Linked DNA regions of Oryzias latipes. The protein of the gene in region 2 purifies or fractionates together with the protein of the main gene of each other region. This does not show direct contact. Links are inferred from orthologs where the notes say so. Each region holds a gene or a part of one and is shown on either strand. Other genes may lie near its edges. The genes, in order: eif3b and eif3e.

The links.
Region 1: the proteins of eif3e (region 2) and eif3b purify together in Homo sapiens (affinity purification with mass spectrometry; 9 studies listed by BioGRID and IntAct, counting the BioPlex papers as one, with this or other methods). This does not show direct contact. The link is inferred for Oryzias latipes from reciprocal best matches to the Homo sapiens genes EIF3E and EIF3B.

What each region holds. Positions count from the first base shown.
Region 1 is NC_019859.2:21,375,198-21,379,736, reverse strand, and holds the start of eif3b (eukaryotic translation initiation factor 3 subunit B), read right to left. Parts: upstream 2,892-4,539; coding exon 2,789-2,891; intron 1,358-2,788; coding exon 1,165-1,357; intron 1,076-1,164; coding exon 956-1,075; intron 873-955; coding exon 815-872; intron 719-814; coding exon 590-718; intron 471-589; coding exon 313-470; intron 172-312; coding exon 40-171; intron 1-39. Other genes in the region: brat1 (BRCA1-associated ATM activator 1), read left to right, coding at 3,434-3,560, 4,381-4,529.
Region 2 is NC_019874.2:3,403,623-3,407,438, forward strand, and holds part of eif3e (eukaryotic translation initiation factor 3 subunit E), read right to left. Parts: intron 2,266-3,816; coding exon 2,139-2,265; intron 1,512-2,138; coding exon 1,410-1,511; intron 1-1,409. UniProt on the Homo sapiens protein: Component of the eukaryotic translation initiation factor 3 (eIF-3) complex, which is required for several steps in the initiation of protein synthesis.

The DNA.
Region 1 (4,539 bases), on a different chromosome or scaffold from region 2:
CTGCTCAAATTCAGACACAATCAGAGGTCAAGTGCTGACTTGAATATTGGCCAGTGTGCTGAGCTCTCGCAGTGGAAGCCTCTCTTCTTCTGTCCAGTCAGAATGTCCCAGATGATGATGGCCTGAGGGTCCTCCTTAGTGTCCATCAAGGGACTGAAGGTCACAACATACCTGCACATTGGAAGCACACGTGAACTTTGGGAAAACTCAGGTGTTTCATTTTAAATGATCCCCAACACAGAGATGAGCTCTGCTCCTCCTCAGAATGAGCTTTTTCGGGATGAAACCTAAAGAAGGCACGTTTTGGATTACCTCTCACATGGTGAGAAGTCGATGAGGGACACGCCCTGGTGGCTGAATCTCTGAATCTGCTTGAACTTCTCACCGCCCCACAATGCAATGCCACGTTGGTGAAAGGTGGCCAGGTAGGTGCCTTTAGGAGACCATCGAACGTAGGTCTCTGTCCAACGCTGCATCCCAACAGAAAGAAAATCTATTACATTTCTCATACTATTCTGAATAAACATGGGTATTAAGAACCACTTATTTGGCTACGTCCAATTTAACGGTAATATAAAAAGTAACTTGCCGCCCTTTCTTCAGCCAGAATTGGCTCTTTGGCGTCATTTGCGAAAATGGCAGTCCTCTCTCCAGCCTCGTAGATCACACTGTACTGGTCACGACAGTCTGGATCCTCTATCCAGTGACGCATATTCCCCTTTGGTCAAATGAACATTTTAGAATCCTGCCGTCACATCGCAATTCTTAGGGAAACAAAACTGATAAATTACACTTAACCAAAAGTCACACTCACAAAGTCTTTGAAGGGCTGCTTTGCTGGAGGGTCCCACTCATCACTGATGTTCATGTACCTGAAAAAAAAAGGCAGGAATTACTCACTTAAATACATCACATAATTTGCAGGAACTGAAGTGCTGTGATCCTGCAAACATACTTGTCAAAGTCAGTGAAGAGGTTGACCCTGAATGTATGCTGTTTGTCAAGTTTGTATCCATCCGCATTTTTCACCGCCTCCAAGGCCTGGTTAGGAGAGGAATATTCCAAGAAGATGTATCTACGCGGACAAAAAAAAAAGTTACTGCATGTAAGCACATCAACTCCAAGTCTGCAACTACAGCTACATAAGAGAACGGAGGCCTTTACCCTTTGGTCGTGCCATCAGCTTCGGGATAAAATTCAGTTGTGATCTTGCCGAACTTGGAGAAGATCTTGTGAATGACGTTCTTGAGTTTCTCCAGCCGCTCCGGCCCCACCTGAGGAACGTTGTCCACCACCACCACAGAGTCTATGCCGTCCGTTTCCTGAGGCTTCTCACGCAAGATGTCTTCAAGGAGCTCTGGAAAGTGAAGAGCGCAGAGTTGAGAGCATTTTAAAAAATGAAACTTTTTACAGTGTTTTATAGTTTACTTTAATACAAATTACTTTAAAATATATATATTAATGATTTCATATCACTAGGAATGTCTTTTACAAGTTTAGGTTAACAGAAAATGCTTCATTTTGTCCCTCGATTGTGGCTCTGTGGCTTTGAAGAACAATTTGAATAAATAATAGACTTGATATTTAAGTGTTTTCATTTATTATTAGATTTTTAAACTGTGGTAATCTTACATAAATAAAAATTCACTTATACATTTTTTAACCAATGGTGATATTAAACTAAATCAACAGCCACTGGAAGGTTTACCATTCCCCTAAATAGCAAACATCAGAAAACAAACCAAAATAATGGCAAAGGGTTGGATCTATTGTCAGAGTGGTTTATAATTGGAATTAGTTTAAACTCATATTCTTACCTTTTGTTTAGTTGCTGTTCAAAGACAAAGTTCTTTCAGTACATTTGCAGCAAGATCTTACTTTATACCGGATGCATTTTATTTTGAAAGGAATTTGTATGCGCTGCTGTCAAAAGGTATATAATAGTAATGTAACACTGTTATAATTATATTATTCCAATTTTTAAAGCTACTTTTTATGAATGAATGGCTTGATGGCCACAAAAAATGTGATTTTTTTCTTCTTTTTCTTTTAACATAAACAGAAAATAAACAGAAAAGTGAGGCTCTCACTGGGTTTTGGTGTAAAATAAACTGGACCATCATGTGCTTCTTTCAGCACTAAAGCTTGCAGACCCCTGATCTATCTGCTTCACTTCTTCCTTTAAGAGGTAGGTTCTTTGGTTAATCTGTAAATTACTTCTGCAAATGTAATCACCCAAGTTCAGTTTAAATAATCCTCCAGACAATTTTAAGTAGTCTAGATTATATGAAATCCATTTGGATGCTGTGTCTCTATGTGGTTAAAAAAAAATGTGAGCTTTGTTAATGCCATGAAGTATATTGTGAAATAACAAAAGAGCATATTTAATTCAAACCTTTCAAAATGTCACAACAAGACAAGAGTAGTGACGTAAATTCATCAATTTATATATTTGTCAAATTGACTTAAAAGACAACTAAAGATGCTAATTTCCCCTTTAACTCATCGACTTAAAAACTGACGGTATAGCATCTGGTATGATGACTGAATGAACGGCGTTCATGATCATGATAGACAAGAAAACCGATTGTTCGTGTGTTTCTTGGTTGATAAAACCTTCCAATTAACTCTGTCGAGACTAATACGGCTTAACTAGTCCATTCTTTCGCCTAAAGAAAATGTCAAACTGACAGCATCTGCAAATATGTCAAAAGCAACGGTCCGTCTAGCTTTTTAGCTAGCAGTTAGCAATAGGCCTACAGCCGGCGCTTTTCCTGCTAGCGCTTACCCTCATCCTCGACATCATCTACGAAGTCCTCCGGGTCGCTGAAGGAAGGCTCCTCCTCCTCCTCATACTCTGGGTCGTCCACCATATCAACTGTATTTCGCATTTAATGGGACTGCGGTTCTGAAAAACCTTTACAGAGGCGCAAAATCCCGGAAAATGAGAGGCTAACAACGAACGACCGGTGAGGCACCATGTGCGAAAATGGACGAAGAGGCGGAAACGTGACGCCGGAAGCGGGTCAGAGGCGCGTTTACGGACCATCGTGAAATCGCAAAGTTGTAAAACAAATGGAGGAGCGACAACAACGAATGCTCAATTAGATTTACTGCATCGAGATGAATACAGATCGAACGGTAGTAGAAGCTACTTTTGCTAGCAACATAAGGGGAGTCACCTGCCAGTAAATTGTTGAAAACTACTTCTTTTTTAGAGTTACTCGCAATATGTCTCAAATACTGACTACAAAATTGCCACATGAAAGTAATTCACTTTTTATCCATTTACTTTTATAAAGGTTTTTTGGTTTAGCTATATGATTTTCGCTTTTGATGAATTTCAATATCGACGATTCGAAGGTTTGAGTTAGTTATCGTGACGTGAGCTCCAAACTTGGTGTATGTTGGGTTTTCCCGGCCATTCTTCAGTATGGATGGAGACTGTGTGTCTCTCCTGCCGCGGGTCTGTGACGTTCTGGCGGCCCCGAGAAGCTCTTTGCCCGATGATACAAGCCTGGAAAAACTGCTGGACTGGTTCACAACATTCAGCAAATCGGGTTAGTTCTGGGAGCTGTTCCCCATACTACGAGTTCTTCCCAGCCAGTCTGGCGCAGTTTTCTTTGTTTATGTGAATTCAATTTGGCCGGGATATAATTTGCACATAAATTCCTGGAAATATTTGAAATTTAAAATTGAAGTACATTTAATAATTATTTATGAAGAGAAGTAGAAGTTCAGGTCCCATTAAAATCATCTTTTGATCAGTTGTAAAATACTTCCCAGTGGTCTTTCAATTATGATTATGCCTTTTTTGGTAACAATTTTAAAGGAAACTGTTATTTTTTTAAGGACATAGTTTCTGCAAAGCAGCAAAACCTCTTAGAAATTTGCATCTGAGTTGGCGGAAGTAAGCTTCTGCTGATTTCCCATCATCCCTTTGTTAACACTCTCTTCTGGTGGCTTACAGCCCCTCACAACCCCAACCTAACATTATCTGTGAAACAATAATAGCGAGCAATATTAAAGCTATCCATTTCCAGGCATACAATTTTGATCCAGATAGACATGGATTTCTTTGTCTGCATGTGGATGCATCAATGGAGCAGAGCAGGGAGCTTGTAGCCCACCCATCTCACTTACTGTGTTTCAAAAGATAGCTTTCTCTAACGACATTTTGTGTGCTCCTGATTCACAACGATTTGAATAAAGATATACTCAAAAAATGCCATTTTAGTTTTCTTTTGTTTATATATGTGTTCCATCATAAGAAAATTACTACAACAACACGTTAAAAAACCCCAAAACACTATTTTCACTGGAGTGGGTCTTGAATGTTTCTGTTATCACACTCTTTGACTGTGTCTCCTCCTGTTGAAGGCGTGTCTCTGCTGGAGGTCAACCCATGTCTGCAGGGCTTCATATCAACTGTAGTTTCCAGCAGAGCTGCAGAGTCCAGCATCATCTCCTTTGCCCTCAAACTCACTGGTTTAGTGGCTGCTGCTGAGGATGGCTTCAGAGCTCTCCAGGTAGGCCTCA
Region 2 (3,816 bases):
AACTATTGGTAGCCTCTACTTCTCGCTCCTTGACGTGCCTTCATCTGACATCTGACAATGATTTCAGAAACCAGAAGAGTGGGAAAAGAAGAAAAGGGAACCTGTAAAGCCCAAACAGAACAATTTGGGTAGAGCTAAGCATCCCATTAGAAACACATGAGTTGAGCCATTTCAGGGTGGGGAGCAAACCAAAGTCACAAGAGCTTAAAAATAAAAACCCAATTCTTGTTTTTGCAGCCATCTTCATCATAAAAAAGACGAGTGAAACTCTTTTAAAATCTGTGTTCATCACAGAGACGTAACCTGTGTACGTTAACCACTGAAAAAAAAATGTCTTTGCTACCTTCTTGTCAAGCTTTGATGTGAATAATAGATGCTTCTGGACCTCAACCAAGAAACACTTAGGACAATGTTCATCCTTGCAGGCCATTACAGGAAATCCATTGAAAAGGGGCTGTTAAACATTCTGGAAACCACCCGACTCTTTAATCCTTCAAGACCGCAACTTTAGCTCTGGTGCTGACACTCTTTGAACCAGCGCAACTCTTCGACTTTTTACACAATTAACATATTTCCAACAGAACCGGAAGCTGCTTTTCTTTGCTTAAGAATCATTGCTTTACGTTAATTGTGTAAAGGTCAAAGAGTTATGACGGCCTGATGAAGAAAAAGACGAGGTTCATAGCAGTTTATGGTCTCTAATGGATCTGCTACAAGTAAGCCTAAAATATGAGAGGCAAGAGCAATATTTACCAATTTGTGTAAGATACTGTAAAATATGATGTCTTTACCAATGAAGCTGTTTTTAATCTCTTTTAAATAAACCTAAAAACACAAAAACAATCCAGAAATGGGTTTGTTACAACAGGTTTTCTGCCCTCAGTAGTAAAAGTCACCACATTGACTCTGTTCAGCTTTGTCCTTCACAAACAAAAAGAACCTTTATCCTGCACTACTCGAGTTCTATTTTCACATCAGGGATCAGGGTTACATTTGACCTTTACAGACCACAACTGAAATAAGCAGAAACAAGTGTCTGCGGAGACTTTTGCTTAGAAAGCTCTGACTGTTAACTACTGGCCTCATGGGTCAACGACAAGCCAAGCAGAAGCTGACTAAAGCCTGAGTCATACAGGAGACCGTCCTATCTGCCAGTGCGATACAAGACACAAACTGCGGCTGTTCTGTCTTCATCTGACCCACAGGGACAAAGGCACGGGGCCAGAGAAATCACCATTACTACCATGTTTACCACAAAGTTCACTGTTAAAACTTCAAAGACATGACCCACAAAACAGATGTTCTCAAAGGAGCTTGACTTTGTTAGGGAAAGGAACAATAAACAAGACCATCTACTTCTGATTGGACGGGAGTTAAACGGCAGAACGAAAAGTGAAAAGACTACTCACCGACTCGCATTCTCTGAGCTTCTTCTGGGCACTGTCAAAGTCAAAATTCACGTACAGACACTCCACAAACTCAGTGATTGGATCTTTGTAGGTGTAAGACTCCTAAAGAAACAAAAACAGTTTTTTTTCAGGGATGTCTCCATGTATCCCAAATCATGTAAGTCACTACTGAAACAAAAAGAAGTTCTGGACTAATTGCAGCAAAACAGAAGTTTTTTCCCCCTTTTTTCCCCTTTACAAAGTAAAAAAAAGAAAAGAAAAGACAGTGTTTTGTTTTAATTAAATTGCCAACAATAATAACACAGACAACATGACAAATGATTTGCACACTGGCTACAAAGGCTAATTCAAATAGGCTGAGTGAAAACACTCTGTGATCTTCAGACAGTTTCATCAAAGCGGAAAGAGTGACTTCCTCGCCAACCCAAGGTCACCAGGAGGAGAACACAGAGTCCATCTTTTAGTCATTCATTTTAGTAAAAAGCAACAAGCTTTGATCTCTGAAGTCCCTCTGTCACTGGTCAACAAGTAATGGGCATAGAACATAAAAGTCAGGTGGTTCCCCGCCATTCATCAGAAGTAATTGTTCAGAGACGTTGCCAGCAAGGCTGAAGCTCTAAGATACACCTGCTGTGCTTGACAGGAAGGGCTGGACGCTTCCTGTTCCTTCAGACCCTAATAAACTCAGACTATTTCAGCACCTGATGTTTGAAAAAGAAAGTCTGTTACCTGCTGTATGACCTTCACTAAATCCTTCAGAACCTGCCGGCGCTTACGCACATCCTTGTTTGTGATGACCGCTGTGGTTAGGTAACGCAAGATGTGGGGGCACATTGTCTGGATAGCATTGAGATATCTGAAAATGGGCAGACGAAAAAGTATTCACTTAATAGAGCAATGTTAGCAAAGACATGATCTTTACAAAGACACATATATAACATTCTGGCTGCCTGTCAGGGCCCTGGCATTTGGGATTGGGGAAAATACTTTGCAGCTAAACAGATACATTTTCCAGCAAGACCTTCATCTCTGCAGCTTAAAGCTTTCTCTTTCATTAGTCCTGTGAGAAAGGGGGGAGGAAGAGGAAACCCTGGCAAGGGGATATAGCTCTTGAGCAGGGACCTGCCCGGTAGCAGAAACTTAATCCATGAGGGACTGATGCTCCAACCACAGGTCAACTTGCTAAAGTCTGAAAACAAGAAACACAATGCTGTTACAGGCGGATTCTAATCCCACACTTATTTCAGAAAGAGGATCCTGTACAAACATGCAACGCCAGCACGCAAAATCCACTTTACTTGTCAGGATGGTCGTAAATGTACATTACCTGCGTCACCAGAGCGGTTCTTTAAATATGTGACCACATCTGATCAGAAATAAGGAAGTGGGCCCCTTAAGGTCTCTCAAAGCTATGGCCAGAGGAACACATGGCGCTCAAAGCAACCGTCCTGACAACAGTTTAATTAGCCGGATCAATTAGAGGGACAGGGTCCTGTGGTAGCTGTGATGTTGAGTCTAAAAACAGCAGTGGGCTACATGGCAAAGCCCGTCACCGGTCTCCTTTTAGGAGAGCTCCCTCCTTCTCTTTGTAGTTGTTTGACTTTTAAGGAAGACCACAATGCTTCATGCTGTGTTCCTGATTAACTTACACCTACACACTACTGGGGCCTCAAATAAGGGATCCGGCGGGAGTCCCCGCATCATGTGCAGTTAGACGGTTTTCACTGTAGCCCTGCTTCAATGGGATTTGCTCAGAAATATCGAATTTTTCTCTGAGTATAAGTCAGAGTTTTTCACATAGTTTGGCCAAGGGGTGCGACTTATAAGTGTTTTTTTTTACAAATACATATGCGCCTGTGTTTTACAAATACATATGCGCCTGTGTTTGTTATTTTCCTATCAACAACAACTAGAGGGCACTGCAGTTGATGGAGCAGTATTTGCTACTGACAGGAACCCAGAACAAGAAGCTCCGTTCATTCTTAAGGCCCGTACACACCGGGACGAATTTTCGCCAGCCGTTATTCGCCAGCGGTTTTCAACACGTTTTTTGTGTTCACACCCAGGCGAATTTCGCTGACGATGAGCCGAGCGAACATGCAATTTCATTCCCTGACATTAGATGGCGCTTAATGTAAAACAGAAATACTCCTGTACACAAGGTGGCGCTGCGCAACTTTACGCTTCTTAAAGTCGCTTTTCACTCAGAAGAAGAGAGCAAGTATTTACGTGCTTGTCAGAATCATACAAAGAAAACATGAATATTTCAAGCATCAGTTGCTCCAGCTCCAGTTCCAGCGATGAAGAAATGATTGTTCTGTTGAATGATGAAAGACGTCGGAAAAGACGTCGATTTTGGGAACATCCCATAGTTACGAGAAGAGAAGAACATGGGGAGTTTTATCGA